Drosophila melanogaster: one gene and its partners. The protein of the gene in region 2 interacts with the protein of the main gene of each other region in a pairwise test. Each region holds a gene or a part of one and is shown on either strand. Other genes may lie near its edges.

Region 1 (11,289 bases), on a different chromosome or scaffold from region 2:
CCGATTCACCGATTCCCCGATTCCCCAATTCTCCGATTCTCCGGCTGCTGCTCAAAAAACAGAACCAAAAAACCGAAAATAAGTCGGAAAAAGCAAAGCACTTGTTCCAGCTTGAGCAGCTCAACAAGATATTCGTACGCGTGTGAGGATGTGAAAGTACACTGCGAGAAACGAGCAGCTGCATTTCAGTTTAATTATGAAATGTTAATAAATATATATATGCTACAACATAGCTTCCATCGGAATAACACTGTTAAGAAATTCAGGAACCTAAGTTTTTGTAACATTCAGCCTAATTGATTAATTTGTTTAATTATACATTGTTCTGTTCTTGATTCCATCTATATATATCCACAGTTTCTCTCAGTGCAAATGGGGATGTATTTCAAGTGCGGAAACGGGAAGAGAGAATGCGTTATATGGAGCAGGCGTTGCGGAGGAAGAAGAGTGGTAGATTGCACCGGGCTGTGTCAGATTCAGGTTTTGGTTTTGGCGCAAAAAATGTGTGCTCAAAATTACCAGCAGCAGGTATTCGCACTCGTATGGGTATTCGCAACCGTGTGGCTCCGATGATGAGGGCAGCCGCATCCACATAGCCACATACATATCAACATCCACAGCAGCAGCCGCAGAAATTGGCGCAAAATTTACAGATGCCTCAAAAAATACAAAAAAAAAAAAAGAAAAGAAACAAAATGAATGGAAAATGGAAAGCAACTGCAGCGGCACAGGTCCCCATTTGTATGAGTGCGCGTTTGTGAGGCATTTCAAAGACGAGGAAAATCGCATGCCCCAAACTTCCTAAAGACAACCCTATCTTATGCATACATATAGATATATGTACATACATGTATCTCACCCCACCTAAATCACTTTAAATAGCGGGCTTGCTTCGACGATATACGGAAATAAATACATACATATGCATACATATATCAATACCGCAAATAAATTTCTAATCCCTGATTATGCTTGCTATCAAGACAGTTCAACGTAGCATTTGTCGACTAATTCGTAAACCCCATCCTCACTTTTTTATGACTCACTAAACCACAACGCACTGATTTCAACGAATTTAATTGTCTGCTTATATTCCATTGGAAATAACTAAGTTTGGCAAATCGAATTCTTTTAATTCTGAAGTTCAAAGTTTTTGGGCGCCATAATATATGCACAATTTGTGGCAGTGCAAACAAAGTATCTGCTAGATTTATTTCAAGCGACCGGATCTGCAGTTGTTGTTGCTGCCACGCGCGCCCATATTGCATATTGCACACACAGCAAGAACAAATGAAATGGAAAAGAAAACATCTGGCAGGGGGAGGAGAAAGCAGAAATGAGGGGACACAGCCCGGGCTACTACTTAATGAGTTCATTTATTAATTAGACGAACGTGACGTCAGCACGGACGGAAAACGACGAAAACCTCGGTGTATCTCAAACTCCCTGCGTTACGTTCCGACACTAAAACAGCAGTTAACCTTATGCGCAGCGCGTGCGACAGTTCCATTGATCGGTTGCGTTGGCTCCTGGGTTCATTCATTTCATTATCATTCAATGGTTTCTGACCTTTTGAGCCGGGGTTACATGGTACGTGGCCCATAAACTAATTTCTGCCAGCCAGTCGGCGGAAAACAGCTTGAGTTTTTCGCAGACAAGATGCGTGCGGCGGAAGTGACGACGGAAAAGTAGCCCATCAGTAGACCCAGACACGTACCCAGAAAACATCTGAAAGATACAAATATACGCGACGACATGCATTCGACAGTGAAAAATCAGCGCAGCTACGAGATATTAAAAAAAAAACAAAGCTGAATCGCAGTTGTTGAAATGGTAGAATGGAAATCTCTTTTGAAACTTTCACACATTTCCAACTGCATTGTTACCCTCTCGAGTGCCACGTCATTATGTGGATTTTTTGGCGCGAGGGTTGGTTTTTGCACAGACCTACTCTGACACGACCTGTGCCACCGATCCACCCGATCCGATCCGATCCTATCCCATCCCATCCCATCCGATCCTCAACCCCTCATTCACCTCGCGAGCAGGTAGTTGCCAATCCGAATTGGACATCGCGCCAAAAAATATATGAGGAAGGGATATCAATCTTCTATACAGTAATCTCCGGAAACGCGAAACTTTTACTAAGAGTTGCTGAGATTTATTTAGTTCGATACATGAAAGTAATAAGTGAATAATCTGCAGTAATATATCTAGGAATATATTCAATTGGTATCCCTTCTAGAAACAATACATTTGTTTGTAAAGCAGATACTACATATGAAGATGATAAGAAAGAAAAACATTTATTCATTCTGGCGAAAATTCTTATAAAAGCTTATAAAGCCAATACAGACACCATCTGTATCCCTTTGCGAGGGCCCACTGTACGCCTGAAAACAATAATAAATCGCAATCCTTTGGGCGCGTCCTTTGTCCGGGGCACTCTTTAAAATGACTAATCGGTCAAAGAGCCAGACGAAATGGGCCTGAAGACTCCTCCGATTCGAGGTAACACCAGCTGCGCCTCCTAACCAACCACCAGTGGAGTGGGGGCCAGTTTATCGGTTCGGCTGACTCAGCATTATTGAAATTGAAATGACTTGTGGTCCACATTATTTACTACTACCAATACCACTACTACAACCTACTACCTCTATTTCTATGCGGTTTTCACTTTCGTTTGTTCGAGATACGCTTGAATTGCCGCCGCAGGCGCGAAAGTTGTTTATGATTTTTTGTTGACTATTTTGAATTTTTCGTATTCCTGTCGCTGGCAATTTGTTCTAGCCACGTCTGGCCGCCAATTAGGCCGTTTAATGCCGCATGAAGCCCGACTCGACCTTGAGTTAGGGCCCAAAACGCGCTAACATATCAGTTAGTTAGCGTTTAGCTCAGTATTTGTGCGAGGTAAATAGCAACGAGCCAGCAGTCCCTAGCATAACTAATTGTATTTACACGGCCTATAATTGGCACACAAAAAACGGATTCACTTTCCGTAATTGTTACATGTAAATATCGTAAGTATAAGATGAGCAACTGCATTATTCTGAGCTAGGAATCTCTATTTGCATGGGATACATTTAATAGTGAGGTGTGGCATTGTGTTTGAGGTACTGCATGTTGGCATCTCAAATTGGGTGTTATGATGTCATCGATTTAATTTATAAACTACTTGGAATTCATCATATGTTTGCTTGCAATGCAATTCAGTTTGATGGCCAACCTTGAGTAAAAAAAAAAATACGAACTTGGAGATATGATATTTTTCTTAATTTTAAATTTCTAAAATTTCACTTCAATTCATTTGAACATCAAGGAAGTAAATGTAATTTATGACGTCATCTCAGTAGCCAGAGATGTTCCCTACTCGCGCCACCTCTCAAAACTGCTGCAGTTAAAAGTGCAATAGCGGTGCTAGGAAACAATTTTTATGGAAATAAACATATATTATAAGCATATTGAATATTATAGCTTCGATGTATAATTTTTGAAATATTTTCTAGATCACTTTCAAGTATGTTTTTCTGTGCATTTCACCCTAATGTTAATGATACCCAAATGTAAGAGAGCGTAAAAATGCTGAAGAGAGTCACGAAAGAGCGCAGAGTGACCGTTTCGGCGGGCCAAAAGCGAAAGTAAAGCGTTATCGATGCGGGAGCAACTGGTCACACTGCGCCATATAAGCTATATAACTTGCTGAATCCCTGGTCTCTGCGCGATTCAGTCTTTGACTCTCCACCAATTCGGTCGCTTGCGTTTGCTCCAGCTGCGTTCTTTTCGCTCTCTTTGGCTCGCGTGAAAGTCGTAAAGTTCAGCTAGCTCTCTACGATACAGAAAAAGAAACGCATACAACAAATTCGCCAGCGATAGAAAACCGATTTAAACTGCAATTGCAATGCCTAAAATGCGTACGTGAGTTTCGCGCAGTGATCGCTGTGAAAGTTCAAGTGAAAGCGGAAAGAAGAAACAAAGCGAGAATACTTCAAAAGCAATAAACCAAAAAGTGCAAAAATACCTAAAGTTTAAACAAAGAAAACAAGTTATACAAAACCATAGCCATGTTGTGTCCGCCAATGGCCCTGGGCCCATTTCTCGCCGCCCCCGTGCCACGCCCACCGCCCAGCGCATCGGAGAAGAAGAGAATCTGTCGGAACCTATTCAATAACGCTCCCGGGGACTCGAATATCGATCAGCTGTTGGCCCAGGAGCAGCACACGCAGAGATTATACGTTAAGGAACGCTACGGATATGACATCCAGCTGGAATCTAATCGGGATGCGGATGCGAATACGGATGCGGATGCTGATACGGATGCCCATTGTCAGGTCCTGCGCGGAATGCGGTATCCGACCTCAAGGACGATATCCAGCACCGATGCCGATGAGTGCAATCCAAAGGCAGTCAGCCAAGCGCCGAGGGGCATGGCCCTGACTCCCGCCCAGATCTCCGCCAGCGCAAAGCTGATCCTTCAGAAATGCCCGGAAAGCGATCGCAAAAAAAGCAACGGCAGTGCGGATTTGGCCAACTGCACGCGACATGGCCAAAAGCCATATGCGAGGCAGCCACAAGGCCTCAAAGGTAGGTTTTTTTTTTCCATGATTTGCATGTTTTTGTTTCACCTGAAACGCTGGGTGCTTGCTCAAAATATACGAATAATGATTACTCTTTGGTTCCAAGTTATTAAGTTTAATATACTTTCAAGTTATTGTTAAATTTTCCCAAAGAATCAGAGCAGAATCAGAATATAGTGAAATCTCTAAAATTAAAAAAGTCTCCTTCGAATTATCTCATACATTTCCTCGGTTTTTGTACGTATGTTCTATTTACTAAGATCCCATGTACTTCTTATATAGATGATCCAATAAGCAGACACCTGATTTTAGTTGCATTTTCCGTTGTTCCTTCCTCTTGCAGTCTCTGCTTTGTGCTCGTCCTTTGCCACAGTCGTCACCCTTATAAAATTCCTCCCCTTAGTTGAAAAAAAAAACCACCCTTATTTTCTGATTTTCCTAATTTCGTTTTTCCCCTTCTGCGTCGATTCTTATTGTCACTTCTTTCCTACCAGTTTTTATTCTCTTTATTTTGGCTAGTTTTTCCGATTCTTTGTTCGTTCATTCACGTGCGTAGGGATTTATCTCTTTGGTTACTCGAAAGTGAATTGGGATACATTTACATATCTGATGAATAACAGAAAACTCAAAAAAGTATTATTGTTTGGCCCCATTGCTTAATCGAATTCGAATAAATTTCTCTAATTTCAAATAATTTGAAATAATAAATGTATTCAAAATCATTGTATTATGAAATTTTAAAGATTCAGTACAAGTTTCTACGACTATTGCCTTAAGTTTTAGCAACAAGACAAGGGACTATTAATGCAGTCCATTGTTATCTAATAATAGATTTAAGATGAACGCTATTAAAAAAAACTTACCAGTTTGTTTATATTAAGCATCACTTATGGACGTTCGACTGTACCTTTAATTTTTGGCTTATTATTATTGCTTTACTTTACGCTGATATTCCGCCGATAGCGTGGCATTCAGTGAGAGAGGGAGAGCTGGGAAGAAAGAGAGCTGGTCTCCAGTTTGTCTTTGGTTTGGCAGTGTGTCAAAGCGAAAAAGCTAAACAAAAAATAAAAACTGTTGAATAACAATCGCGCGCCAAAAATCTTTCCATATTTTGCGAAAAGAGATTGCAGCTGAAAAGTGAATATGAGATGAGTAAAATGCAAAGGCAATTAATTGAGAGGCCTCAATTAAATTTAAATCAACGCCTTCTGGTTTTCTTGATTGTTGTTTTTATTCCTGCTGCAGTTTCGACACAGAAAAAAAAAATAAATAAAAAAACAAAAAATGAGCTACACAGACCTGCGACTGTACATGAGTTCACTGTAGTTGTGTTAGTTAGTTGAAAAGGCCGCACCCACAACGACAAACGCAATCTCAACCAGAGGAAAACCACAGCTCTTATACGACGACGTCATCCCACTTCCACACAAACGCACGCACACTTATGCATTATCAAAGAAAGACGAGAGAGTCAGAGTCGTCGCTCTCTCTCTCTCTCTCTCTCTCTGTTTGTCTGCTGGTTTTTGGCGCGAACTTATTATTTTCGTGTTTATTTTTAGTCGTCTTCGCTGATAAGCTTTCTGCGTGTGCGAGTGTGTGTGCGTTATTATGCGTAGTAGTAACTACGCACGCACGTTGATGATGTTTTTCAAAAACTCGTCGTGAAGGTCACACACACCAACGAACGCAATTCGCGTAAGTACAGCAGCGCCAAATGTTGTGTTTTGTTGTACTGTGTGGCAGGTCCAAAAACGGGTCGAAAAGCGAAGCGAACAAAAACAAATCAATTAGACAAAAGTTCTGTTATCTCGGCCTTTATTCCTATCTTGTTTATATTCTTTTTTGCTATGTTTTGATCACCACTGTACTTTTACCACCCAGTTGGCGCGCTATAGGAAATGCATACATATTCCTATGATATGATAATTCATATTACGGTATTTTGCATATTTTTACTAACAATTTACAGCATCTTCATTATCATTTGCATGTGTGGATTTTTTACCACGTAAATTAAGTTTTCTAAGCGGTCTATTTGACTTTCGTGATTATGTTTTGCTTGGCCTTCTTCGCCACGCCCCAAAAATGTGTGTGATATTCCCCTAAATTTATGTTTTCTAATTATGCATTCAGAAACTCTCTTTTGGGCTCCCACATAAATATTTATAATGTGAGTTCTTTGTTTTCATCGCCGCCTCTCTCTCTACACACATTTCGTAAACAAAACGCGTTTTTTTTTTGTTGTGCAAGATGGAGCGAGACAGAGCTAGTTGGAGCTTCGTGCTTATAATGATAACGGTAAACGCACTACCGCCCTCACACTCCCCCTTTCTCTTTCTCAACACCTGCTTTTTACAATGGACTTGATCGCTTTGCCGTTTTTCCTTCCTTTCTGCTTCTTCTCCTCTGTTTCGCTTGACGTTCTTTGTCGCTGGCTTATAATTTTCTATAACTGTACATTTGATTATATCGCCAGAAGCAGCGCGACTCTTTGGCTGCCAGCCATTTCCATTCTCTTTCTCGGGGGGCTTCGAGTTTAAGGAACACGTTTGTATCGTCCAGAAAGTAGGCTTATTTCACTTGTTGCGCTTTTCGTTCCACTTTAATGGATACATTTGGCATAGAATCTTAACTGTATGTATTTATCTTGACTTCGAAATGATAAGTTTGCTTCGTAATAGCAAGATACTTTCGTTGGAATTCATAGTTCTATAATTCTAAATGAAGCACCTACATGATTTTTTAATTATAATAGACAAATTACTTTGCGAGTGTGTTTAAGTATTCGGTTATGTAAGCTAGACTTGGGGCCTTCATGTTTTTGCTGTTGTTCAGCTTTCCAGCTTTTAGGTCACTGCGCAGTGTCTGCGGTTTGGTGAGCGTCTTTGTGCGATCGTGTAAGCTCTAGCGGTTTACGTGATGAGGCAACCGCAGCTGCCAAGCGATAGAGGTTTGATAGAAGTACAGTCGCAGCTCTCTAACTGAAACTGACATTTAGCTTTCAAAGAGGAATTTCTGAAATTTGAAATGACATTCTTTGTGACATTTTTTTTAGTACTCAAATAATAAATATATATTTGAGTAGTAAAAAATGATCATTGCAGGATTTGTTTATTTTTAGATGCTTAGATTGCTTAAAGATACACATTTTACTTTGACGTCATGAAACAATCTCACATGGATTCATAATGCAAGTCGAAGACGATCGACTGAACTTAATACACTCCAGACGACTGCATTCTGCCATTAGCACTTATCGCTGTGGCCATGACATTTAGTATATCGGCCAACGATGATCAGGTATAGGTTTACTTTACTGTACACTTGCACAAGTGTGCATAATTCCAGGGCGATAAGAAAGAAGAAAAAGCGAAACACCCACTGACACGTATGCAGTAGTAATGACGCTTGCACTTTTAATTTTACTTTCCCATTTCCCTTTTGCAGCCTGATTAGTCACAGTATTTTATTTAGCTATTTTACAATGCCAAATACTAAACGTTTACCCCCTTTTTTTCTTATCTCTTCAGGCATGTACAATGTTCGCAAGACCGTGAATGGTATTTCGAAACCCAACGTCAAGAATGGTTACAACAACAACAACAACAGCAGCAGCAGCAACAACAACAGCAACATGAATATTAATAATAAGATTGTGGATAATGGTACTAGCGAATTGGCAGATCAGAAGCAGTAACTTTGGATCAGAATGACGATGACAAATAGCCCCTGGCGGAGCAATAATTGCAATATATGATATTAATTGTAAATGTAATTTTAATTTCTAAAATAATTTGTTTATTTTTTTGTACCCCCGCCATACACAGATACTTTTGTGTATGGATTGTACGTTTGTTTTAAACCAAGACTTGACGGTCCAAAAATGTTGTTGCATAACAAATGATTAAGTGAATGGATAAAAGCCAACCAGAAACAACAACAAAAGCAACCCCAGAAAAGATCGGCGCGCGTGCACGGCCAAAAACAGGCAAAAAAAATATATGATTAATAATTAATAATAGTAATATATCCGGATGCATTGCGATATCGGTCTTATAATGGAAATTATTAAGTTAATGGATATGTGCTAATGTTAGACAAGCGATCGACAGCGCCATGCATCCACTATATATAGACTAAACCCCAACCCAAACCAATTCAAGCGTTCTCAGCGTGTTTTCGGGTCCAGATGCACGCGTGTGCCAAAAGTATTTACAATTTACTTTGTGTCATGATCTCAATTATTAAAAACAATTTTATTATTTTGTTTATCTAAATGTAATTATAATTGAAATTATTTAAAAATTCTTCTTAGCCCACAAACAAACACACACACACACCCTCGCCCCTCTCATTCACACACCACCCACGCACACTTTTACACACACGCACACACACACACTGTACTCATATTTATTGTATGTACATTATCGATGTGACATTTTAAATTGTATGTACTGTCTATGTATAAAAACTTCGTATCTATGGCAAAATTATTTCCCCTTTAAGAGACCCCCCCATTTTCGAAATTCTATTTTGAACAACCAAACTGTGTATATTGTACGGAGTGTAACCAAACTCCAAGCAGCTAAATGCGAAAAACCACAACAACAAATACTGTGCATATTTCCTTAAAAACTTTGTACGAAAGCAAGATGAAAAAAAAAAACTATTCTACTGTAACTCTCAAGCGGAGAGTAGCAGAAAAAAACCAAAACAAAAAAAAACTCTTAAAAATACAAATGTAAAACAAAAAAAAAAACATTTAAAAGCTTTTTATTTGCCTACATTGGCTTTGTTGTGGAGAGGGGGTGCCTTTTGGGCCGAGATGGCGTGATAATTCTCAACCGTAAAGAAAAGCGGAGAAAGATGGAAAGATTCATAAATGGATGGAATGAGTCAGCATTCGAGCCTCGAGCTGCGGATGCAACAGTTTCTCCATTAGACAAGGGCCGCTCCCGCACAGTGAACCCTCGATAATAAAGGAATTTTCGTAGCAGAAGTGGCGCCTAACGTTACCCTAGACGGCATGATGACTCCGCATTTATAGAACTGGTAAATATCTTCATCATTTTGAAGTGCAACCATATGATGGCTATTTATCTAAGCTACGAGTATGTATGATAACGTTTTTTTTTTTGGCCGAGTCCGCACTGTTCTAATTACATTCGATGCAGAGGTTTGGTATGCGTTCAGAAAGTGAAGTGGATCGGAAAGGAAGTGGAAGACCCATTCCAATTAGTGTGCTTTCCCATGTTCGCTTTCATCGCTAATCATCCGCAGCAATTTGAGAGACTTCACTGTGGGCACTCGTCGGTCTCTCAATGGGCGCACACATGTGCATATCGCCCGCGGCGGACATTTCGGAAAATGCTTTCTAGTCGTTATTTGTGTGCTATTCGTCGTACTAGTGATTGTTGTATCTACAATGTGTAGCTGTGGAGTGGAGTGGGCACTTAACATTAGATTGGCTGCGACTTCCGGCGAGCGAAACGATCGTTGGGCGTTTGATGATGATTGATGCTGGCCACCGTTCGCATTTACCCCATATTCATCCTCCTAATCAAACGGATGTGGATTTACAGAAAACAATTTGTTGATGTCTTAGAGCCTAAAAAAACAACTACATATTACATCTTAAGCAAGAGCATAGCAAATACAATAGATGCTAAAATTTCAAATTAGTTAGTTGGTTAGGTATAGCACTAGTTACAGACATATGTACATACATACACATTCTTCACAAAACCGACACATTAGTTTTAGTTACTAGCCAGTTGTTGCAATCTTTGCCATTTCAAGCATTTGGCACTGCTCTCTTGAGCGAATCAAGAATACAATATTCTATAATAATGGCACTGCTGGCAGAATGGAAAATTACATGGCCTGCATTTAGTAACAAGCATGTACAACATATTTGCCCACTTAACTAGCGGTCTGGTACGGTTATTAGCATGCAATTTCAAGATTTTAATGGCTCTGCACTCGCATTGCAATCACACACACACACACACACGCACTCGCATTCACGTAACGCAACAGAGCTCAGGCGTACAATCCCGGATACAGTAATAGCACACAAGGTGATATTAATAAACAGCGTCGATATAAATTTAAAATTTTCCAACCCAAATTCTTTTTTTTTCAATTTGCAAGAGAAGTATAGCTTTAAGGTTTATTTTTTATATCAATAGTGATAAATCTCCGCAATCAACATAAATTGAATGCACTCAGCGGAAGCACACGTTTATAATGAGAAATTATCACGAAATATAGTCACTAAGCGTTCGTATTTAAAACTAAAAAGATTCTGAAGAGTACCACAAATTTTTCGTTCGTAAGCTTTTAAATTGGTTTTTTAAGTCCTTAGGCCCTATTAATTTGCCCGCCATTGTGTACTACGAGTGTGTGTGCGGGAAAGAGAGAGCTAAAGGTGTTTGTACTCTCGCGTTGGCCGCAATTCGCGTTTTTTGTGCATTCGCCACGCAATAAATTCAAAGCTGCAAAGCAAAATTTATGACGTCGATTTGAGCTTGCCATCTCTTTCTGCCATAACGGTATAGTTGAACCAAAATGAATAACCAAATACAGGGTTTTCGTATATTGTCGTAAGAATTGTACATATCTCTATTTCTTCTTTGAATTCACATTTCATTTGGTTTTTGTACAGTGCGAAATCACAATAATTTATGGCACGACCAAACGGCGGAATTTA
Region 2 (6,134 bases):
GAAAGTCTGAGAAAAACGTTTTAAATTATTTTTGTTGTTGCCTATTGGCATTCTTACCACAGAAGCATTCCAAAATCTGTTTACTTTACGCATAAGTTATTGTATAGTTTAATTATTATAACTTTAAATATACATTATTTACAAGAAACTCGCGATAATTTATTACAATTTAGCCTTCGCCAGCAACTAAGAGTCTCACCTAAAGTAATCACGAATCATAATTAATTTGTTGAACTTTGTTAATCAATGAACGCAACACTAAAAATGAAAACATAAACATGTAAAATATTTCGTTAGAATTTGAACGCGCATGATTCAAATATCAAACACTTTGTACATGCCACCTGAAAACTGTCCAAAATCCTGCCGTTAAAGCCAAGTACATTCAACGACGGCCAACAGCGATTAACAACAATATACGATTTACGTTAACGAGTTCTGAACTTTGCTGCGTCCAAGAGATCACTACAGGCAAATACATTTTGAGCTTTCCTTTTTGTAATTGCTAACGATTGTAAATTGTATATTTTTCGTAGATTTTGTCAATGATTGATGACGTATTTATTTACTTGTGCACACGAAGAATGAAATTGATTTAGATTAGTTCCTGTAGTTCCCGGTATTTATGTAAGACTTGTATACTGTATTCATGCTGCCTTAGTTTTTTTTTGTTTGTCTTAGAAAAGCTTTTAGAAATATCTGGCTGTTCTATCGACCCTTTGGTTTCATGTAGGCAAAGTCACAGTTTTTAGTTGAGCACTTGTAAATTGTATAATTTTGGAAACCATTTGCCAATGTTTTGTACTCTAAAGACTAATGTAATCCTTTTACTTTTTCAACAGAGCATCCGCCGAGGACATGCGGGCAGCTGCTCAGCAAACCTTCGGAGGAAACACACCTGCCCAAACCAACGATCGAGCGGGGATTGTGAACAACGCCCAGCCCTTCTCCTTCACCGGTGCCGTGGGCACGGACAGCAATGTGTGATTCAGAAGCTAGCTGATCGGGATTTCGAGGAATCGAAGAGCTGGGTGTGCCGTGAGAAAACAAGACTCAAAACGCAACATTTGAAGGGCAAACCTAACCAAGAGAACATCGGCAGGCAATCATAAACATAATCATGTGCAATTTCTGATTGTTCAATAACCAACGCAAATGGATAACAAAAGTTTTTAAATCCGATTAGCTCTGATCTCTTTCTAGAGCAATCCAAATTACTCGATCAGAAAGAAGCCACCCAAAACAAGATCATTAAATTTTAAACCATTTTTGTATTAAATGTATGTAAATGTATATTGGTTTTAAAAGCGTTTTGCGTTTTCTGTATCCTATTAATTAATTGTGTTGCCTGTGTCCCATCATTCCAAAACATTTGGTTTCAACTAAGTAGAAATTGCAAATAAATTATTGAACGACATCACTAGCGAGGTGAAAAAAAAGATCATGTAAAATTTATGTTTAGTCATAGTTTAAATATACCTTAAATATATTTAAATGCATAATACTAAAATGTTTAAATTAATGCAAATAACACTATAAATATTGTATGTAAACCATATTAAAATTGAATTAAAGATACTTTAAATTATGTTAAATAAAATTAATTATACAAATCATCGTTGTAATCATCGCTAAAATGTAACTATTGTGGGGCATGCTTTTTGGATGATTCCTGAGCTGCGGTATCTTTTGGGGGAAATAAAAAATCAGATTACGCTCACAAATATCGTATAATTTTAAAACTTTTCGCCATAACAACAAATACTATTTATAAAAACAAAAATTACAAAAACTGTTAACTAAATGATTAAGATTCATTGGAGGCGCTTTCATCGGAGACGCTTTCATCGGAGGCGCTTTCATTGGAGCCGCTTTCGTAGCCTTCAGGATACTCGATGATCAAAATTTCTTCGGATGCACTGCCGCTGTCATCATCCGCGGCATCGTCATCATCATCATCATCCTCCTGCAAGTCGTTGGCAGACTCATCCGAGTCCTGCGAGAATTCCCAACGGAAACGACGATCGCTGATCACATCATCACCCTTGTCCACAACATCCGAGGAGAGACTGGCGGCGATCACCATGGCGATGATACCTAAATTGGATAGACTTGGATGATTTGGTATCCTTTTCGTCGGCTTCCTTTTCCTAACTCACCAAAGAACACGAAGAAAACCTTGTTAGACTGCATATTTGATGATTGATTGTAGCTTGAGATGCTTTCGATGCTGAGTGAGCTTTTGGCTTCGGCTTATATACTAAAATTTTGGCAAGTGCCTTGCGAATCGTCTCTGACCCAGCAGACTGTGTTTGACTACCCCAAGATCAACGAAATGCCCCAAAATTCTACATAGAAACAACTAACAAAATATTAGCATAGCTATTGAGTTTGAGCGATCAAGGTCAGAGCTTTCGGGGTTTGCTGGGTGATTTGTGTTGTTAGAACCACGCTTCAATGCTGTAAATTGGGTTGCAAATTAGGTGGCAGTAAAATATCTTAGAGATACACTAATTGAATATACTTAATATTAATATAAAGGTCCATACAAATCCACACACATGCCTTCTAAATCGGTAAATGAGTGTTTTTTTTAGAAAAAAAAAACAAATATTATAGACATTTTAATTACAGTCATGCTTTTCATTTAAAAGGGTAGAATTTTGGAAATATAAGTACATTTTCCAAAACTGAAAGCTTATTTTGTAGCAAAAACTATTTATGATCCTAACTAGTTTTAATATTGTGATTTGTTTTTTATTCATTTAATTTTAGTTATATAAAATGTAAGGTCACAGCTCAAAAGTATGCAGCAGAAACGTATGTATGTAAAATATTTTGTATAATACACGCGTATAAGTAGAATTCCGTGTATATTTGAAGTATAAGAGCAGTTTGCTTAAGGCTTTCTGCTTATAAGTTTTCAAAGTGTTTTCACATGCTTTTAAAGCGTATTAAAAAGTGTAAATGGTTAGTTCTCCTCCTCGCAAGCATCAATCCAATCGTTGAACACATCAATTGCCTCCGTGAGATAGTTTATATGTGTTTGAAAAAATTCTTGGCACACGGTACAGGTAATTCTTCCTATTTTTTTCGCCTTATCTCTATGAATACTATGAAATTAGCGGAGTAAAACCAAATTTTGATTCCTACTCACAGTTTCGCTTCACATGACTGCTTGTGATTGCAGAATGGACAATCGAAAAGAATGGGCAGCGGCTGAATATTTTTCTTTCTTGGGGCTCCTTTGCGTTTGGACTTGCGACGACCCATGGCAGAAGATCAGAAGATACGATATATTTTAATATTTTAATTGCAATTTTTTAATTAATATGCTCTTGCACACTTCTGACTCCACTTTCGTCAAATTATATTTTTGACAGTCGTTACTGCGGGTTCTTTTATTATGATTACATTTTAGCTAGAAAAAAGCTGTTTAGCTAGGTTGTAAAAAATCAACGGAGATATAAATCATTTATTTGATGTTTTTAATTCCATACTCAAAAAGCGTAATAATGATTTTATTACACGTAATATATAATAATAATACATTTTAAAATACGTAATAAGATAATAATACTTTTGGGAATTTATATAAATATAATTTTAAAATTATATCCGTTCAAAACTAAAAACATCCTAATGTGAACTCACTGATTTGTAATAATCTGTTTAATACTCCTTTGCCGCTTCTCTGTTTTTGTGTGGGGTTTCCAGTTGAATAATTTCAATGTTGATATTGATCCGTTTGGATAGCGAGGATCTTCAATTGATTGAGCCCACATAAGTTGAGCATCTGTCTAGAGATCCTTTTAAGAAATACCTTGGGATCCCTCCTTTTACGTAACTCAATGTAGCAGAAAATCCCTTTGTCGCCGCCATTGTATCTCAGCAATCGATCGTGAGCCTGCTTTTGGGGCAAAGTATCGATTACGCAATTCGATTGAGCAGGCAAAATAGGTAATTCGGTGCCCAAAGATGTGGGTCAAGTGTTTGGGCAGAGAGTAGATTTCCGATGAAACGACAACAGATATGGACATGTTCCCACATCGCATAGCCAAGGAATAACGCAGTGAAGCGCTTTCAACATACCGAATTTGCTCTGGCTAAAGCGCCGCAGGACAAAACTGTGCGATGACAGCCAAATCTGTTTGGAGTGTTAAGGGATTTCTCTGCTCGCAGCGTGAATTGTGAGATGGTCCGGTTTTTCGGGATGCCTGCTGCTTACCATATTAGCACCAGGACATCAAAGGACAGCTGAATGTGTCAACAGTTCTTGCCAAAACGCTGTCGGCGAGTTGAGAGAGTCGACGTTCTGTGCGCAAAGCCAGCATGAAATTTGTACTAAAGTTGGCAGCAGGATGCCGCATCCTTGCAGGATGCCCATCTGTTTTTTAGCGGCATTTATTCCATTCGCCATGCTTTTCGATACTGCCTGCCTGCCTTACTGGTTATGTTTTCCGCCAAATGGGATTAATTCGAGATTTTTCAAATCGAGCAGCGAGTAAAAGTCTTAAGACTTTGCTTCCGCTTTTACCCCTCCTTTCTGCCAAATGCCATTGTGTTTAGGATCTGCTGCTCCTTTTTTTGTTCTTTCTCTTGGCTTATCTCCACTGCTCACATCTTGGCCAGCTGCTCAGCACCGTTTGCCTTTTGTGGCTTGACCATTTCGCTTTGTTGTTCGGCTGCAACTTCAATGGGTCCGGCCAGGACTCACGTCCTTTGTCCTTTTTGTCCGTTCATTTGCTTAAACGCATCTTATCCTGTTAAAATGTGCACTCCGGCTTTCCGTTTCGCTGGAAAATTGATCTTTTTTGCAAATTTCCTACTCAGCTTCTGGTCTTCTGCTCCTTTCAGGACGCTCTCGAGTGCACACTAATTGAGATTTTCCTCCCTTTTTCCATTATTATTGCCGGTAATGCAATACACGCGTTCCGCTTTCAAGTCGACGACAATGGAGTTCGAAAGAAAAGTTTTTGGAAAAGAATTTCAGAACTAATCGGGCATTGTAAGGTGTTCTTTGGTTTGTAGTATATCCCATATTATTTATAAAATATATATTTGTCAAAAAACTATTAAAGGAAAAAATGTTAAATTCTATAATATATAATATTCTAAAAAACCAATTTGATATTGAACAATAATTTTAATAGGTACCTGATCTTAATAATATCTAATCCAATGAAATGCACACCTGAGCGAATTCCAAAAATACTCTATATAGAATTAAAACAATTTAAAAGCTGGATAGAGCATAAAATTTCTGTTCGGCCAATTAGATGTTCTAAAAGCCATGAAATTATTATTATATTGTTTGGTGCCTCTTTAGGTGTCCCCATCCAATTAATATTTTTATTTCGGTTCCATTTACATGTTCGTGGCACACGCAGCGCATTCATAACCATATTTCATCAAAAATTCAAAGCGTTTCCCCCCGAAAAACATGATTATTAATTAAAATTCCCAAATCAAAATCAAATTACGAGTAAAACACAATAAAAAAATGAGGAACATGAATAAATTTCCCCAGCAGAAATATACACTTTTTGTTGATTGGGTCGAAGTTGGGGAGCGAAGTTGGCAGCCTGTCGCCAGCGGCTTCCGTCGCCCAACTTCTAGGAATTTCGAAATGTGCTCGGAAAATGCATATATTATATACAAATTAAATTATGCATAATTTCCCCGTTTTCCTCTCCGTCCTCTGATTTTGTTGCCTGCATTTAAACCAAAGTAGCGTGGGGCAACCAACACCAAGACCATAAAACTGTCATAAGGCGCTGCCAACGAAATTGAGAGGAAAGGAAAGGAGGCGCCCACAAGGAATCGGGAATTATTATCTTCTGGGGACACATACATATGTGACTAAGAACTACTTGGATATTACGGAGGGGTTAGAAAAAAACAAAGAAATGCATAACATTTTTGAGGCGTTACACTATACAACGTGCTATGGTTTTGTTTAGCTCACATATATGGTTATAAGCATACTTAAATGCATTACAACAAAAAATATTTTCGTGCTCTTAATATATTAATTCATTTACTTACTTTTTTTTAGCAGTAACTGCAAGTTATTTAAATACCCTTATAATATACCCCACTAAGCATCACAATAGTATTTGTTATTAGGCGGA
Region 3 (8,092 bases), about 11 Mb from region 2:
GCTTTGTTAACATTGATGTCCTGACGTCCTGTCCGTCCCGCTGCACCGACTGTTATTCTGAGCGCTGTTTACTGATGCTGTGGCCGCCAGTGCTTCCACCGCCATTGACGTCCTTGTTGGCCATTAATTTTGCAGGCTTTCGCGCGGCGAAAATGGAAAATGACCACGCTCACTGTCCTGCCGCTGCTCTAGATAAAGAGCGCAGTGGGAATCGAGCGGAAAGCAGCGCTCGATAGTGCAGAGTTCAACCTTTGGCCTTTCCTTTGTCCCTGCGACAATCTTCTGCAACGATTTCACTTTTGTTTTCATTGGAATGCACTTGCAGAAAAATATAGGCGGGAGGAAATATAGGTCTAAAAACAGAACCTATCGATTCAATAAAGTTGCTTATTAAACAGACCAGAGGTTAGTTATACGGATTTAGTTAGTCTACCATTGACAATTTACCTAATCGCTATCATTTAAAATGATATTGTTCTAAGTGCATTGTTGCACTTGTGCTCATTATCGCGATTGTTGCTGCTGTCGCTGTGCGGTGGCTGTTGTTATTTACTTTTTAATAATTACAGCGCTCTGCTGCAATTGTCCCTGACCACAGGCCGAATGGGTCAGACGAAGGGGTGGTGGGGGAGGGTGTGGGTCAGAGAACATGGAACATGGGAGAGACAAGGACAGCACACGGGCGACAAAGATAGCCGGTCGAGTTGATAAATTGCGCGCACAACACAGAGACAAAGAATGCGCCAGCTTACGGACACCCACACAGAAACGGACACCTCGCTTATTAGGCACAGTCTGAGTCATTACAATAAGTTTAACTAAGGCCAATGATATTTATCATATTAGTACATATTAAATTGATTTAAAAAAGTTATATTGTTTTATAGAAAAAGAAGCACTTATCATATACAAGTAATTATTTATATTATTTGTAATTCTATTCCAGACTTTACCATCCACTGTAGATCCCGTGTGCCCATGAAAAGCTTGCCAACTGTCCACCACTTTCGCCCAACCCGCAACCTTATCCACTCACCCAGCATCCCGGGCATCCTTGGACTTTTCCCGGCGATGGTCGAGCAATTTAATCAGACAGCAGAGCGCAGAAAAGCTGATAATACCGTTATGAATAATTTACCCACATACGCACACACATTCGCTGATGGGAAGTGAAACGCGTTTTATTATTGTTTCTGGACCTGTCTCTTTTGGTTTTATTTATAATTAATATAGCTGCGCCAGCGTATAATATAAAAACATCGCATAAAAGCACTTGTTGTTTGCACTTTTGCTTTCGAGCCTTTAAGAAGCTGCGTGTGAAATCGTTTTAATTAGGTGCGGTAACTTGTTGCGGCTGACCAGTGGAAAACGGAAACTACAATTTGGGAGCGGGGAATCCCCGAATGTCATATTCACCTCAGATATTTGCCGCTGTGCCGATGTGCTTTCTGTCAAAATCAATGTACATCCCCACCGCAAATATCATGAATACAAGATGTTTGCGGTGGGGACTAATATCGAAATTTTGTCTTCGCAGGCGACCGCAGTAAATGAAACAACCAGAAATGAACAATTTACCAACCAAGTATGTCATTTAATGGCTACCCTGATGTATTTAGTTAGAGAGACGGTTGGGATAATTAAATAATTGGCTTAATGAAAATATACTTTCAAGTGAAATCGTTTTATTAATCACACAAGGTTCTTAACTTAGATGGAATATGATATTTCAAATATTTTTTTTTAACATGTCATGCTTCTTCAAAAATTATGTGCTTAAGGATGTCAATTTATAATTTGCAATTAAAGGAGGTTAATGACATCTCAGCGCAGTCTTTCTTAATTATACTATACTCAAATATGTTCGGCTCTTTTGTAATGGCAGATTATAGCTTGGGCTACAATACTTTGTTCATATGCATTTCGGACTAGTTTCAATCTCAGAGCTAAGCTCAAACTACAGGATTAGGTTCCTTTAAGCGCTCAGCTCGTTTCCCCCTGCTTCTTCTGGAGAACCACAGCAATCTGGAGCGCCTTTGAGCTGTGACCACATCGGATTCCACATGGATGCAGTTCCTTCCGCCGGACACCTTGACCAACTTCGTATCCAAATCCAGTTCGCTGGCATTGAGTATTTGTGCGACATGTGCCTCGTCGATTGTGCCTTTGAAGATAAGGGGATAGGGCCACTCGTGGCATATCGTGGGTCCGCTATAGTCCCGCAGAGCCTCGATCATCCTGTCCAGGCGCTGCATCTCCTCGTGGTCGTCGTTGAATTCGCGCACCTCATCCAGCAAAGCTGCCACATCGGATTCGAGCACCTGCGAGGTGAGGTGGAAATTGGATTAGCGGGAAATCGCTTATTTTGCTCGATTTGCACTGCGGTATCCAATGACACAATGACAGTGACGGCGTTACGGTCAGTGATAGCCTTACTTTCCCGCCGGCTGAGCTATCCACCCATCCAGGTCGCCATTCCGGACCCCCTTATTCGCGCCATTCATTCGGCGATGTTGGCTCGGATTTCAGCTCTAATATCTTTCCAAAGGCCTCGTCACTAGCGTCTCTATTAGTGCCAAATTAGCCAAGCCTAGGAACACGGCCAACTAAGCTCATGTTGGGTGCATGTTTCGAAGGGGTGAAAAGTAAACCCTACCCCAAACACTCTACACCAAAAAGGTAGTTATCAAAAGTTAAAATCAAACGAAGAAGCTGTAAAAATAGTTTATCCATGTATTGTAGTTAAAATACAATAGTTAGGGAAGTTGGATTGTATATTTAGTTAGACAATTAATACCGGGTAATCATCCTGTGCGGAAATAACTTTATACTTATTCATCTGGCCATGACTGTGCCATGCATTGCGAAACCGTTCGTTTGCCTATGGCCGAACCGACATTGTCTAATTAGCGGTGCTAGTAATCACTGCAGTCCCCAACTACCCCCACGTCGCACCCCCAACCCTCTCTGACCCGTCCAACATTCTAACATTTCGTTCCCAATAACTGGCTATAATTGCATTAACATGTTCCAAATCGCTGCTGCAGCTGTTAACAGAGTTGCCGGTCGCGCATTGTTGAACAACAGGTGATAGCAGGTGAAATGGCAGCAGAAATAGCGATAACAAATTACAATGGCTAAAAGGGGTTAAGAGATATAGTCGGTTGACCATTGTTAAGCTAAATGCTAAGAGTTTGTTGACAAGCTTTCATTAAGAAAAGCATGCAAAAATGTGACGTTACTTTTATGAAGATTACGTATACGACTAGTTGAAGACGGCATTTAGTAAAAATGGTAAGATAATTTTACTGCTACTAGCTTACTTAATGCATTACAATTTAATTTTTGTATCCAAATAAAAGAGCTATTTTTAGAATGAAAGCCGAAATGAACAGAATTGTTTGTGAAAGCACAGATAATATTTCGAAAGTGATGGAGCGATAACAGAAGTGGCACAAAGGCCAGATAAGAAGGAGATTATACAGACAGAGGCACAGTTGTACATATATACCAGATATAGAATCTGTCAATGTGTTTGCAACACTTTAAACCAGCAACAAAAGTGTAACTCTGCGGCCAAGTGGATTACGCTTGTGTGGTAAAAACAATTTGGACAGGGAAAGAAAGGGAAGAGGTTCGTCGATCAATTACCAAAAACTCAATATGCAGATTAATAACACATTTTAGCACTTGACGAACACGACCGCGCAAACTTTCCACGCTGCGGAGCAGTTGCCTCCGCCGCTGCACCGCCGCACTAATTGGCTCCGTCATCGCGGCATCTGTGATGCCCTGAATGTTTTATTTTTTGATTGCCCACCGCCGGCGACACTTGTCCAATTTTCGGGTGGTTTTTTGGACTTTTACATATAGCACTAATTCGTGTTTGTTGTTTTCCTTTTATTTATTTTCTGTAGTTTTTCGTTCGCTGCCTTTGTTGCTGCTCTACATGTTGCCGCGGAATTCCGCTCGCGAACAGCGCTCGCCGTTGACTGAAGCCTCTTCTTTCAATGAGTAAATTGTTTACGTGCGTCAATCAGCCGGGCACTTGAGTGTGTGAGTATATCTGTGTGGGCACACACTCAACCAATACCCATACACACACTCGCAGTGCAGGAACAATTGGTGCAGTTCCACTTCTCATAGCCACTCAAAAACATCTCAAAATCGGCGGCCACAACCACGGATCCCGCACCACGGACCACGTACCAGGGTTCGGAGCCCGGGATTTGGCTTCCGGCTGTGCGTTGTGTCCGTTGGGTCCGTGGTGTCTGGCCAGTGAGGTGTCTCCGGTGTTTGGTGGTGAAGGGTACCAATAGAAAAACGAAATATCAGCTGTACAATTTATTCGATGGAACATATATTTTGAAGCCACAAACATTCATTTTTGTCTTTGACATTGGCATTACTTATTTTAAATTTTTGGTTTGGACTAGACATAAAATATAAAACGCTACGAAGTGGGGTAAAACCTTGGAACACAGGCTTTTTTAAGAGGTTCCATCATCTCGCGTTTTATCCCAAAGCGGAGCGAGACAGGCATTAAAGATTTATGAGCCATCCTAGTAGCAGGCAATGTTATTATGCAACCATTCTTTCCCCTATTTTTTCCATCGTAATAGTATGCAACACTTGAGTTCCCAATGTAGCCACGAAGTATGCAGCATTTCCCGTATTCATATGCAAGCCGCAATGATTTTAGAGCTGCTCGTTGACTTGGCTTTAATCGTGCTTTTCTTTGGCCCAGCTTCATCCCCATCACCATCCTTATCGAAGTTCCCTTCCACAACCCATTCTGCTGAAAGCCAAACAAGCATCAGCAGTTAGCCATTAAAATTTTAATTTTGTGCACCATTTGCCACCATCTTGGCCCACTGGGCACCGATTCCATCTCGGCAACGTCATAGCCATCGCCATCGCCATTGCCATAGCAATCCCGTCCAAAGCCCTTGGCTTGAGCGATTATGTTGATGGCCAAGTCGAGGCTGCTCACCTGCAAGGGCCACGCCCTCCTCGCCGACGCTCCTCCGCCTCCTTCTTGTCGATAATACGCTCAATTCAATTTGCATATTCAGTTGTCCAATGAAGCGCACACCACACAGAAGCGTTGCGATCCGTCGTCCTTCCAGCTTCCAATTCAATCCCTGCCCCAACCGGTGGCACGACCAAGCAAATGGTCTCTTTCTGGGCCATCCCGGTTGTTGGCCACTTGAAAGAGCCCAAAATGTGCCGCTGACAGCGGCGCACGCATGAGCTACCTGAACTGCTCCAGAACAGCTCGAGCACTGCAAGAAAATGCGGATAAAATATAAGTAATAGTAATAATTTTTCTAAAATATTTTATTGCGATTTAAATTTAGTTACCTAACAGTTTAAGTGAAGCATATCATATTTTCAATTCGAACTAAACTAATTCAGGATACATTTTTCGCAATGCACTTCGAGTTCCCAGAACCAGATCCTGCTCCGTGAATCCTTCTATCCTCGAGTCGTCCTCACCTGCTGTTAGTCCATTACGTTAGCAATTTAACTTACGCCACGTAAACATGATTATCATCTTAAGCGCAGTGTGTGTGCGTGCGGTGCAATGTGCGTGCAGCGGGTGGGAAAACTTCGAAGCCAACTGCGGACTGTAAGCTCGTTGGCTCGCTGTTTAACAACTTTCAATCTGCTTAAAACTGCAATTAATTTAAACGGTTTCTTTTTTGCCCCATTATATCCGAAAACAGTGTTCTCGGACTACCGCCACCCAATCGCAATCCGGATTTCAATCCGGTTAGAGTGCTCCCGCCCTAATTGAGCTTGTCAGAATCAGCCATCAGCAGGCAGAGCGTGTTTTGGCCAGGACACCTGTGAGGGATTCAGCTCCCAGTCGACACAGGTGTTCCGTCCAGACCTTGGATGTGGATCTGCCCTTGTCACCAGCATGTGGTCCAGTGGTGATGCTGATCCTGACGAAGCAGATTGCAGCTGATTGAACCGCACGAGAAGTCGCCCACGTCCACATCACGCATATCCCTCTTTGGAGTTGCGAGAAAATTGCAACAGCCGCTTGATTTATTTGGGGGCGGAACCAAGTTATAACTTGTGGGCGTGGCTGCTATGCAACACCATTTTAGGGCACCGCTGTGTTAGGTATTCCTAAGGAAGAGAGTGAGGAAGGGTATATTTGACATCAGGCCACAGAAATTGCCAGCATGTTTCATCCATTCCTTTAAACATATTTAATTATCCTTACCTTATAACTTTTGTATTGAAAAATAGTTCTAGCTTAAAACATTATACGAGGGTATTCACCAGCCGCCCAATTTTAGTAACCCTTCTTATCACTCTCACTTGTTTTACCACTTGACAGGGTAAATACGAAGCCGAAAAACAAGGACCAAAGTCCATCAGACAGACAGTGAAAAAAGGAGAAAGCTCACTCACGACTACAACTGCATTTATGCAAATATTAATATAGATATACTCACAAACACACACACACACACTCTTACTGTCGGGGCAGATAGACAGTCAGACAGAAAGAGAGGGCATCACAAAGTACCGTTGACAAACCCATTATCAGGAAAACAAACCGGAGATTAACTTGGCAAAATGTCTGCAGACGTCAAAAAAATCCAGAGTGGCCAGCGAGTGCGAGCGAGAGCGCAGCATTTGGATAACCACCGCATGCTGAATAAAATATGAGCACACACATGGACAGATGAAAATGGAGCGAAAGAGACGGCGAGAGGATGCAGACACACGCATTTGGTCCTGCAAAAGTGACACATGAGCGTAATAACAGCTAAGACCTTGCTAAGCATCCGGCAGTCAACAACCACTTGCTGGATGCCCATCCCATGCACATCCATACCCACATCCTCATCCTGGCCTCGTCCTGGTTGCCATATCGTCCTGGTCGAGCGCGTAGCATCCCCTCCTGGTTTTCGGGCCGCCGCTGCACTCAGCGTGATTACAAATTATAACGTCTGAGCAATCGCCGCCAGTTCTGCGACTGTGTGTGTGTGTGTGTGTGTGCATAAAGGGGCGGTCCCAGTTACCGCCCATAGGAAATATAACTCCTCAACTTTTGTCAGCCATACTGAGGAAAAATGAAGAGCAAAGTTGCTGAGGAAAAAAAGTAAGGGAACATCAAATTAAATTAAGAGAACTATAATTATTTCACATTTATCAGCAATTCTTTTCGACACGTTAAAAAGAAATTAACAATAATCTATATCTATAATCTATAGAGATATATATTTTTTTAAATAAGAAATTTAGGAATTTTAATTTAATTGCACAAAGCATGCAAATTTCTACCAATGATTGAATATATTTTTCTAGTGTATCTCGATTAAGCCGCCGGCTGCGTTTTTGCCTTTGGGTTGAGCGTTGGTTGGCAAACGGTTAACGAATTTGTTGCACGCACCGCTCGCCAGATTTCCCTTCGTCCTTCGTCCTGATCCGTCGCGTGCCCGTTGGTGGTTGGCCAGACAGGATGCCCGGGCTGCTAACCTTGCCCCTGGTTGGTCCTTCCATCCCCTGCTCCCGGAGCATTGCAATCCCGCCCCGTCATCCCCTGCTGGCAGCCGCATCCGCTTCCCCTGGCCTCTGCTTAGATAATTTCGTTAGCTTGCAGTGCTTTCGCTGTTGTCCTAATAACTTAATTATGTATTTGCCAGCAAAGTGCTCTAAGCGTTTTTTGTGCAGCATTTAAAATGGCGTCTGCAACCCCCGGAAGGGAAAACCTGGGAGCTGGACGGGGGTCACATGGGTCATCCGTCTGACAGCGGCTTTTCACTCTAAGCCCAAGAGCACTCTGCGAATTGGGGGCAGAAGTCAAGGTGAACAAGTGTGTGTTTTCAACATCTCTAGAGCTTTTAAAACAATGGTATAATTGTGTGAAACTATGGTGTTAAACATTTTGGTAATGGCTTTATAATGTGCCAGGGTCTTTTTAAAATCTATTCTGGCTTTAAAGAAACATATATTATTTGTCACATTTTCATTCTCGTTTCTTGAGAAAAGATTTGTTTTAGCAGCATATAACTGTTTTAAGCCATATATCCATGCAAGTACTTGCATTTAATTCTCCAGGGTATAC
Region 4 (6,266 bases), on a different chromosome or scaffold from region 2:
TTGGATCTTTTAAACCATCATCTCATGTTTAATGTTGCTAAAGACCACATTCGGAAGTATGTTTTTAGCTATTCAGCTATACGTTCCAACTAGAAACGACAGCAATACCATCAGCTGTTGCTGCTTCTTCTTCCTTCCACCAACACATTTCGCTTTGCATAACAGTTTGAATCAATTGTTTAGTTAAAATAAATCAATTAAAATGTCGAAGGCAGCGGGTAAGCTGAAATCGCTAAAGAAGACGGTGGAACGTGTGACGCACACGAGCAAACTGAAGACGAATATACCTGCGGGAATGGCTGCTGCAGGTCCGCCATTGGGACCGATGTTGGGACAGGTGAGTTAGCCGGCTTTAAAACTAAAATATGTATATAATTTTGTTTTTAACCACACACAGAGAGCGATTAATATCGCCGCTTTCTGCAAGGACTTTAATGCCAAGACCGCGGAAATGAAAGAGGGCGTACCGCTGCCGTGCAGAATTTCCGTAAACAGCGATCGCAGCTACGACTTGGCCATCCACCATCCGCCGGCCACATTTTTCCTGAAGCAAGCGGCGGGCATACAAAGGGGCACCATGACTCCTGGCAAGGAGGTTGCCGGCATGATCACTCTCAAGCATTTGTACGAGATTGCAGCTATTAAGATTCAGGACCCGCCCAATGTACTTCTTACCATGCAGGTCGGTATTCCGAAAAGTTTGAGATATAACTTCGACTCAAGTTTATGCCTTGTCTCTTAGCAAATGTGTGAGATGCTCATCAGCATTGCTCGGACCTGTGGCATCAAAGTGGTCAGGGAAATAGATCCGGCGGCCTATGGCGAGTTCCTGGAGGAGCGCAAGTTAATTGTGGAACAGCAACGGCGCGAGTTGCAGGAGAAGCGGGAAGCAAAGATGTTGCGCACGGGCTAGATTTGCTTATTTGCACTGTGCTTTTAATTGTTTAAAATACATTTATACTTAAAGCGTAAGTCTTATTCTATACCAATGCGTTTGCGGTCCTTGGCGGCGTTCTTCTTGCGTCGCTTTTCCATGTGCTTGTTGAGTTTTCCAGTGTTTTTCAGCTTCTCGAATTGGGCAACTAGTTCCTTAGCTCGACGCTCCTCTGTCGGAAAAAAAAACAAATTAAAATTTGATTTCGCTGTCGATCAGAAACGTACTCTTTGTCAGATAATGAGGTTGTTGTCCCAAATCGTGTTTCTTCTGAATGGCGGAGCGCTCCTTTTTCAGTTGCTTCTGTTTGGTGTGCCACTTCTTGTCCTCCACATTTTTATTGATAAGTCGCTGCATGGTGTCCTTTATATGGTGCTTCTCCGCCTCATCCTCCACTTCGTCCAGTTTTTTCTTCAGCTGACCAACTTCCTTTGCTCGAATCTGGGAGACAAACTGGTAGTTCTTCTTGAAGGTTTCTGCACTATATGTTCCGGATTTTTCGTCAAATCTTGGATCTCTGAGTTCAACATTTTTTTTCCGCTCCACTCTGTGCTCGGCGCCCAAAAATGGAACCTGTCGTCTGGTGGTCATTTCACGAGGTCGGTTTTTGTTTAGCCGCTTGAGGTCGGTTTTGGCCTTTGGTTTTTGGGGTCTAGAACTCTTGCTACCGAGCACAGCCTCTTTGTACACCTTGGCGCCCAGCTCCTCTTTTAGTTTCATTATCTCCTCGAATGACATTCCTTTGAGATCTTCGCGAATGGCATTCTAAAACGAAGTTCTCGCATATGTAGTAAACCATATTTCTGTATAGTTGTATTACTTGTACCTGAGTTTCGTTGTCATCGCTAGCCTCGTGCTCAGAAGCTGAAGAGGATTCACTGGGAGAGGACATTTTTGTTTTAGTTTTCGTTTAAAATTTTATTTATTTACTTTTTAAGAAATTCACGTGTGATTGTTTGGGTTATAAACAGCTGACTGCTGGGCTCGATAACGATACGTTACGATAAGCGCTGCGATACACGTTAGCCAACACTGAACTTAGTTAACCGCTTTATTTGAATTTATAGTTCAAACTAAATATTTGCATGTTATACACTTAAGTTATTGTTTCCTTTTTTGATAATATAAAGTTACCCGTTTAAATAAAGAAACATTTTTTAGAGTAATTCTCAATGGTGTGATTTATTTTTGATTTAATTGCAATTCTTACATAGTAAGGTAAACAAACGTGAATCTTTTTTTTTTCAATCTAAGGAACAAAAACAAGCAACGAAATGACCAAGAAATATACACAATTAATACAATTGTCACAACTAAATCCAGAAATGGGTTTAGATCGGCTCGTAAAGTTGTCTGGATTTTGATTTTCAGGCGAGCGGCAGAGTAACTAGAAAAATAGTTGTAAAACTTGATTTTTGTTGACATTTTATAGTCAATTTTGATTAGCACACGCAGACCAATAAAAAATTAATCAAAATGCCCTTAAACACGTTAATTCTAAGCAATTCAGTTATAGATACATTAGTCAAATGTAAATATTTTATATAGGTTCCGTATATGTATAATTAGTTTATATTTATGCTCTATAGTATATAAGTAGTTTGCTTTGTACACGTACACACATTTAAAGTAAACTTGATTGCAACAACTAGGAGAGTGTGGGACCGGATTATTCATATTAACCGAGTGCGATTATATGCCAAATATCTATCGTATTCGCATTTTGCTTGAGTTCGAGTTCAAAAATTGACTGCTGTGTATCTTTAAGCTAATATTTATATTTATACAATCAAACACAGTACGAAAAGTATTATCCATTTATCTTCAATTGCTGCCTTATGTTCCATCTTTTTTTCGAGCGGTTCGATCAATCAATATTTGTGCTGTGCTCACAATCGTGTGGGAAATATCATATAATATTGCTATAGTTTGCTACGTAAATACACACCTCTGTGCATACAAATATATGTATATTAGTTAGCTATAAAGTAGATTTCAAGCCGATCACAGGCGAGGACTAGTAGTGATCCCTATCTGACTTCCTGATGCCCAATGCCCGATGCCTGGTATGTAGCCTCAAAATTCTTAACTAGGGGTTTCGTACACATAATAGTATCTCATACGTTTGTTTGACTAGCACGATTTTGGTTAGGGTAGCTACGTACACTCTTAGCTAGTTGGTTGGATTCCATCTACTTAGTTAATTAGTTTAGTTTCGCGGTTTTTAATCACCTAAAAGCGACAGACAGATAGTTAGATAGATAGGTCGATAGATAGATAGATAGATAGATAGATAGGGAGAGGATAGTATCCGACAAAGGTTCAACCCGAGGGCTTCGCACCTGCGGGACCGTAAATAGATCACATATTTTGACATTCACTTATGCTTAATATTGCAACTGCATTTGCTTCTGCCTAATGCTCATTCGCTTGTATATGGGTAGTTATAGTACTTAAAACATATATCAAACATGTACATATACTCCTGCCTTCGTTCTCGATTACGATTAGATTTGATGCGTTTCTTGTTAATGAAATTATACATGAGTTTCCAATTCTTCTGTTTCTATAATATGTTTCAATTAAAAGCACTTTTTCAAGTTTCTGAAGTTTGATAAATAACTTTTGTTTACAATAAAAATTTACATTTATATTTAATTTTGTAAAATAGGATAAAAGAGAATAAACTATTTTATCCCTGGTGTAGCAGGGACTTTAGTTTCAATGTCTTGACATCTAAAGCAAAAGTTATTTTATTGAAATACATAGTTTCACAAACAAAAACATTCAAACCAAACGAAATCGAGTACCAAATCCTGTAGTAGATGCAGGTGGAGCACAACAAGATTTTTAATGTGAGTTTTCAAAACTCCAAAATCCAATTAGAACTCGGTCATCCCCCCTCCGCACTTGTGGTCAGTCTCACTGCCCGTGGTGCTGGAGGGAGTCGCCATATTCTAATTGGACGGCTTTCGTCATAACAACGCGCACAGTTTGGAACGCTTTTTGGACTTGTCCACCATCTGGCCGCCGGCAGATGAGGTGGAGGACGAGGCGGACATGCGGCCCATGCTCCCGGAGGCCTGCGGCTGCGAAGGACTCGTAGGACTTTTGTCATCCATATCCTCGCTGACATGGGACTCAAGGAGCTTCAAGGAGGTCTTCGGCTTTGAGCCATCCATGCTGTTGTATAGAGTCTTTGATAGCTTCGATCGAACTGCCTTGCCCAGGGCTCCGGTCTTCTTCATGCTCAATCTGGAGCCACTTCGCTGGTGCTCCGGCGTGTGGCTATCCTCGCTGCCATGCTGAGATTGCTGATTGCAATTTAGCGTGGTCACAGTGAACTCGATATCCTTGATTTCTTCATCCGCACACGCGGCAAACTCCTCCACGGGTTTGTCAATCGTATCGTGATCGATCCATGTGAGGCCCATTTCCACTTTCTCGGCCAGATCCTGCCAGTTGCGTCGGTTCTCCAAGGTTCCTTCATAGAGCGGAGTGATCCAGGGAAAGGTGTCGCAAAGCACTCTGTAGAGTGGTAGACAGATCACGTCGATAAAGCCCACCTGCATCTTGGGTAGCTCGTCCTTGCGCTCCCTAATAATAATTAAACATTTTAAGCACATTTTTCTTGAGATTTTCCTAGTAAGTTACCTGTCCATCATGGCGACTGGTTGGGTGTTAAGCTGCAGCTTTTCGAGATCTCCTTGGTCAAAGAACTCATCGGCCACCAACTTGGCAACCTTGTGCTGAACCTCCCAGGGCTTGGCAATGGCACTCACATCGCAAGCAGTCATCATCATGCCACAAAGCACTAAGATCAATTGAAATAAGGTATTTTGTTAAGGGTTTAATTATAAGAAATACAAGAATAAATCTTAAAGCTAAGCCAAACTTCAAAAATGGGTAAAAAATTGTTAACACTGGGATCAGCATTTATTTGGACTCACAATCTTTCTTCTCCTCGCCCTGCCAATCGAATTCCCCATTTTCCACCAACTCTAGGAAAGCGTTCCTTTTCTTGAAATACATGGCCAGATCGGTGGACAGAATGGCGCTTTCCACGGTCTTCATGACTGAACGATAGTCCTCAGGTGACAAGGCCTAAAAAAAAAGCGAATATTAACATGTGCATTTGTTAATTCCGCTCCTAGTAGTTATTTCATACTCAACAACTTCTATTCAAAAACATCTGTGCCTATGACGTCACCGTACTACTAGACATGTGCTTAAAATAAAGTTCACTCCCTATTGAAGTCAAGGTTGAGTCAACTCGCAGATATTTTGTTAAACAAACATTTTTGGTGATTTGGGGGTCGCTACCTAATCTCAATTTCACTATAAAAGTTGTATTTTGCCAGCAGAAAGCATATCAGTTCTCAATAGAAACATCCAACATGAAGTTGTCCCTTGTTCTCTTCGTCCTCTCGATGGTTTTGTATGTGGCCCATGTCAGAGCTGCTGACAGCAGCACAAGCACGGAATCGAGTACCAGCACCACGGATAGCACCACCACGGAATCCACCACAGAGTCTACCACATCGTCGTCCTCTTCATCTAGTTCGGGCTCAAACAAGAAAATCGTGCGTCTCAGCAATCTGAAGTACTCGATCACCAGGAAAATCAGAGTTGGATCCACCACCAGTTCCTCGACCAGATCCAAAAGTTCCCGCGCCAAGTCCCGCAAGGCCCGTCTAAATGCGGCTAAACGATCCAAGAAGGCCGCCAACCGAAAACTCAACAAGAAGTCCAAGAACCGCAATGTACGCGTGGTCCGCGGTTAGGTTAGCCGCAATTATATTTTTAATAATAAATGGTTGAAATTTATACATAAATCATAATTGGCTTATATACTACTTATATACTACTACTATACTTATTAAAATGCTGTGCGCTTACCTGAAATATATTATTTCCCTCCGAATTGAGAATCATTACGCACTGATCGAAGTGATGGTGCTCCATCGTGCTAGTGGTGTACAAAATGGCCAGCGGGGACTCCGTTTTGGTCTGGAATGCATTGTTGGTGCCACGATGATCCAAGTCATGGCACAAACAGGCCACCAACAGACCCAGAATCTCCAGATCTGTCATAAAGCGCTCCATCTTTCCAGTTTTAAGCATGGCGAACATCGTTTGGGCCACGTTTAGAGCATGCCTCCAATTGTGATATTTAACAGGACGATAATTCTTGCGAACACTTAAAACCCAGCGGCAAAGTACCTACATATATAATATTATACAAAGAAATGGATTATATATTTATCATCTTTAAAGCAATTGACTTACATCATATGGTATCTGAAACTGCGAGACCAAATTGCACTGCATA

What was found.
Region 1: the proteins of CG13445 (region 2) and glec interact in a two-hybrid assay, tested with the Drosophila melanogaster proteins (one large-scale study listed by BioGRID).
Region 3: the proteins of CG13445 (region 2) and CG13707 interact in a two-hybrid assay, tested with the Drosophila melanogaster proteins (one large-scale study listed by BioGRID).
Region 4: the proteins of CG13445 (region 2) and CG34273 interact in a two-hybrid assay, tested with the Drosophila melanogaster proteins (one large-scale study listed by BioGRID).

The regions. Positions count from the first base shown.
Region 1 is NT_033777.3:21,848,692-21,859,980, reverse strand, and holds glec (gliolectin), read left to right. Parts: upstream 1-3,714; 5' UTR 3,715-4,061; coding exon 4,062-4,581; intron 4,582-8,104; coding exon 8,105-8,271; 3' UTR 8,272-9,287; downstream 9,288-11,289. UniProt on the Drosophila melanogaster protein: Has a role in intercellular carbohydrate-mediated cell adhesion.
Region 2 is NT_037436.4:15,805,557-15,811,690, reverse strand, and holds CG13445 (uncharacterized protein), read right to left. Parts: upstream 2,207-6,134; 5' UTR 2,194-2,206; coding exon 2,160-2,193; intron 2,098-2,159; coding exon 1,808-2,097; 3' UTR 1,714-1,807; downstream 1-1,713. Other genes in the region: fwe (flower), read left to right, coding at 843-987; CG6244 (uncharacterized protein), read right to left, coding at 2,972-3,104, 3,158-3,273.
Region 3 is NT_037436.4:4,836,127-4,844,218, forward strand, and holds CG13707 (uncharacterized protein), read right to left. Parts: upstream 3,983-8,092; 5' UTR 3,775-3,982; coding exon 3,652-3,774; exon of another isoform or gene 2,798-3,651; intron 2,713-2,797; exon of another isoform or gene 2,437-2,712; intron 2,322-2,436; coding exon 1,953-2,321; 3' UTR 1,665-1,952; downstream 1-1,664.
Region 4 is NT_033777.3:14,511,722-14,517,987, forward strand, and holds CG34273 (uncharacterized protein), read left to right. Parts: upstream 1-5,320; 5' UTR 5,321-5,331; coding exon 5,332-5,718; 3' UTR 5,719-5,766; downstream 5,767-6,266. Other genes in the region: mRpL11 (mitochondrial ribosomal protein L11), read left to right, coding at 203-337, 398-682, 743-913; CG8461 (uncharacterized protein), read right to left, coding at 976-1,106, 1,162-1,699, 1,761-1,826; Pde6 (phosphodiesterase 6), read right to left, coding at 3,910-4,531, 4,589-4,748, 4,885-5,038, 5,834-6,157, 6,224-6,266.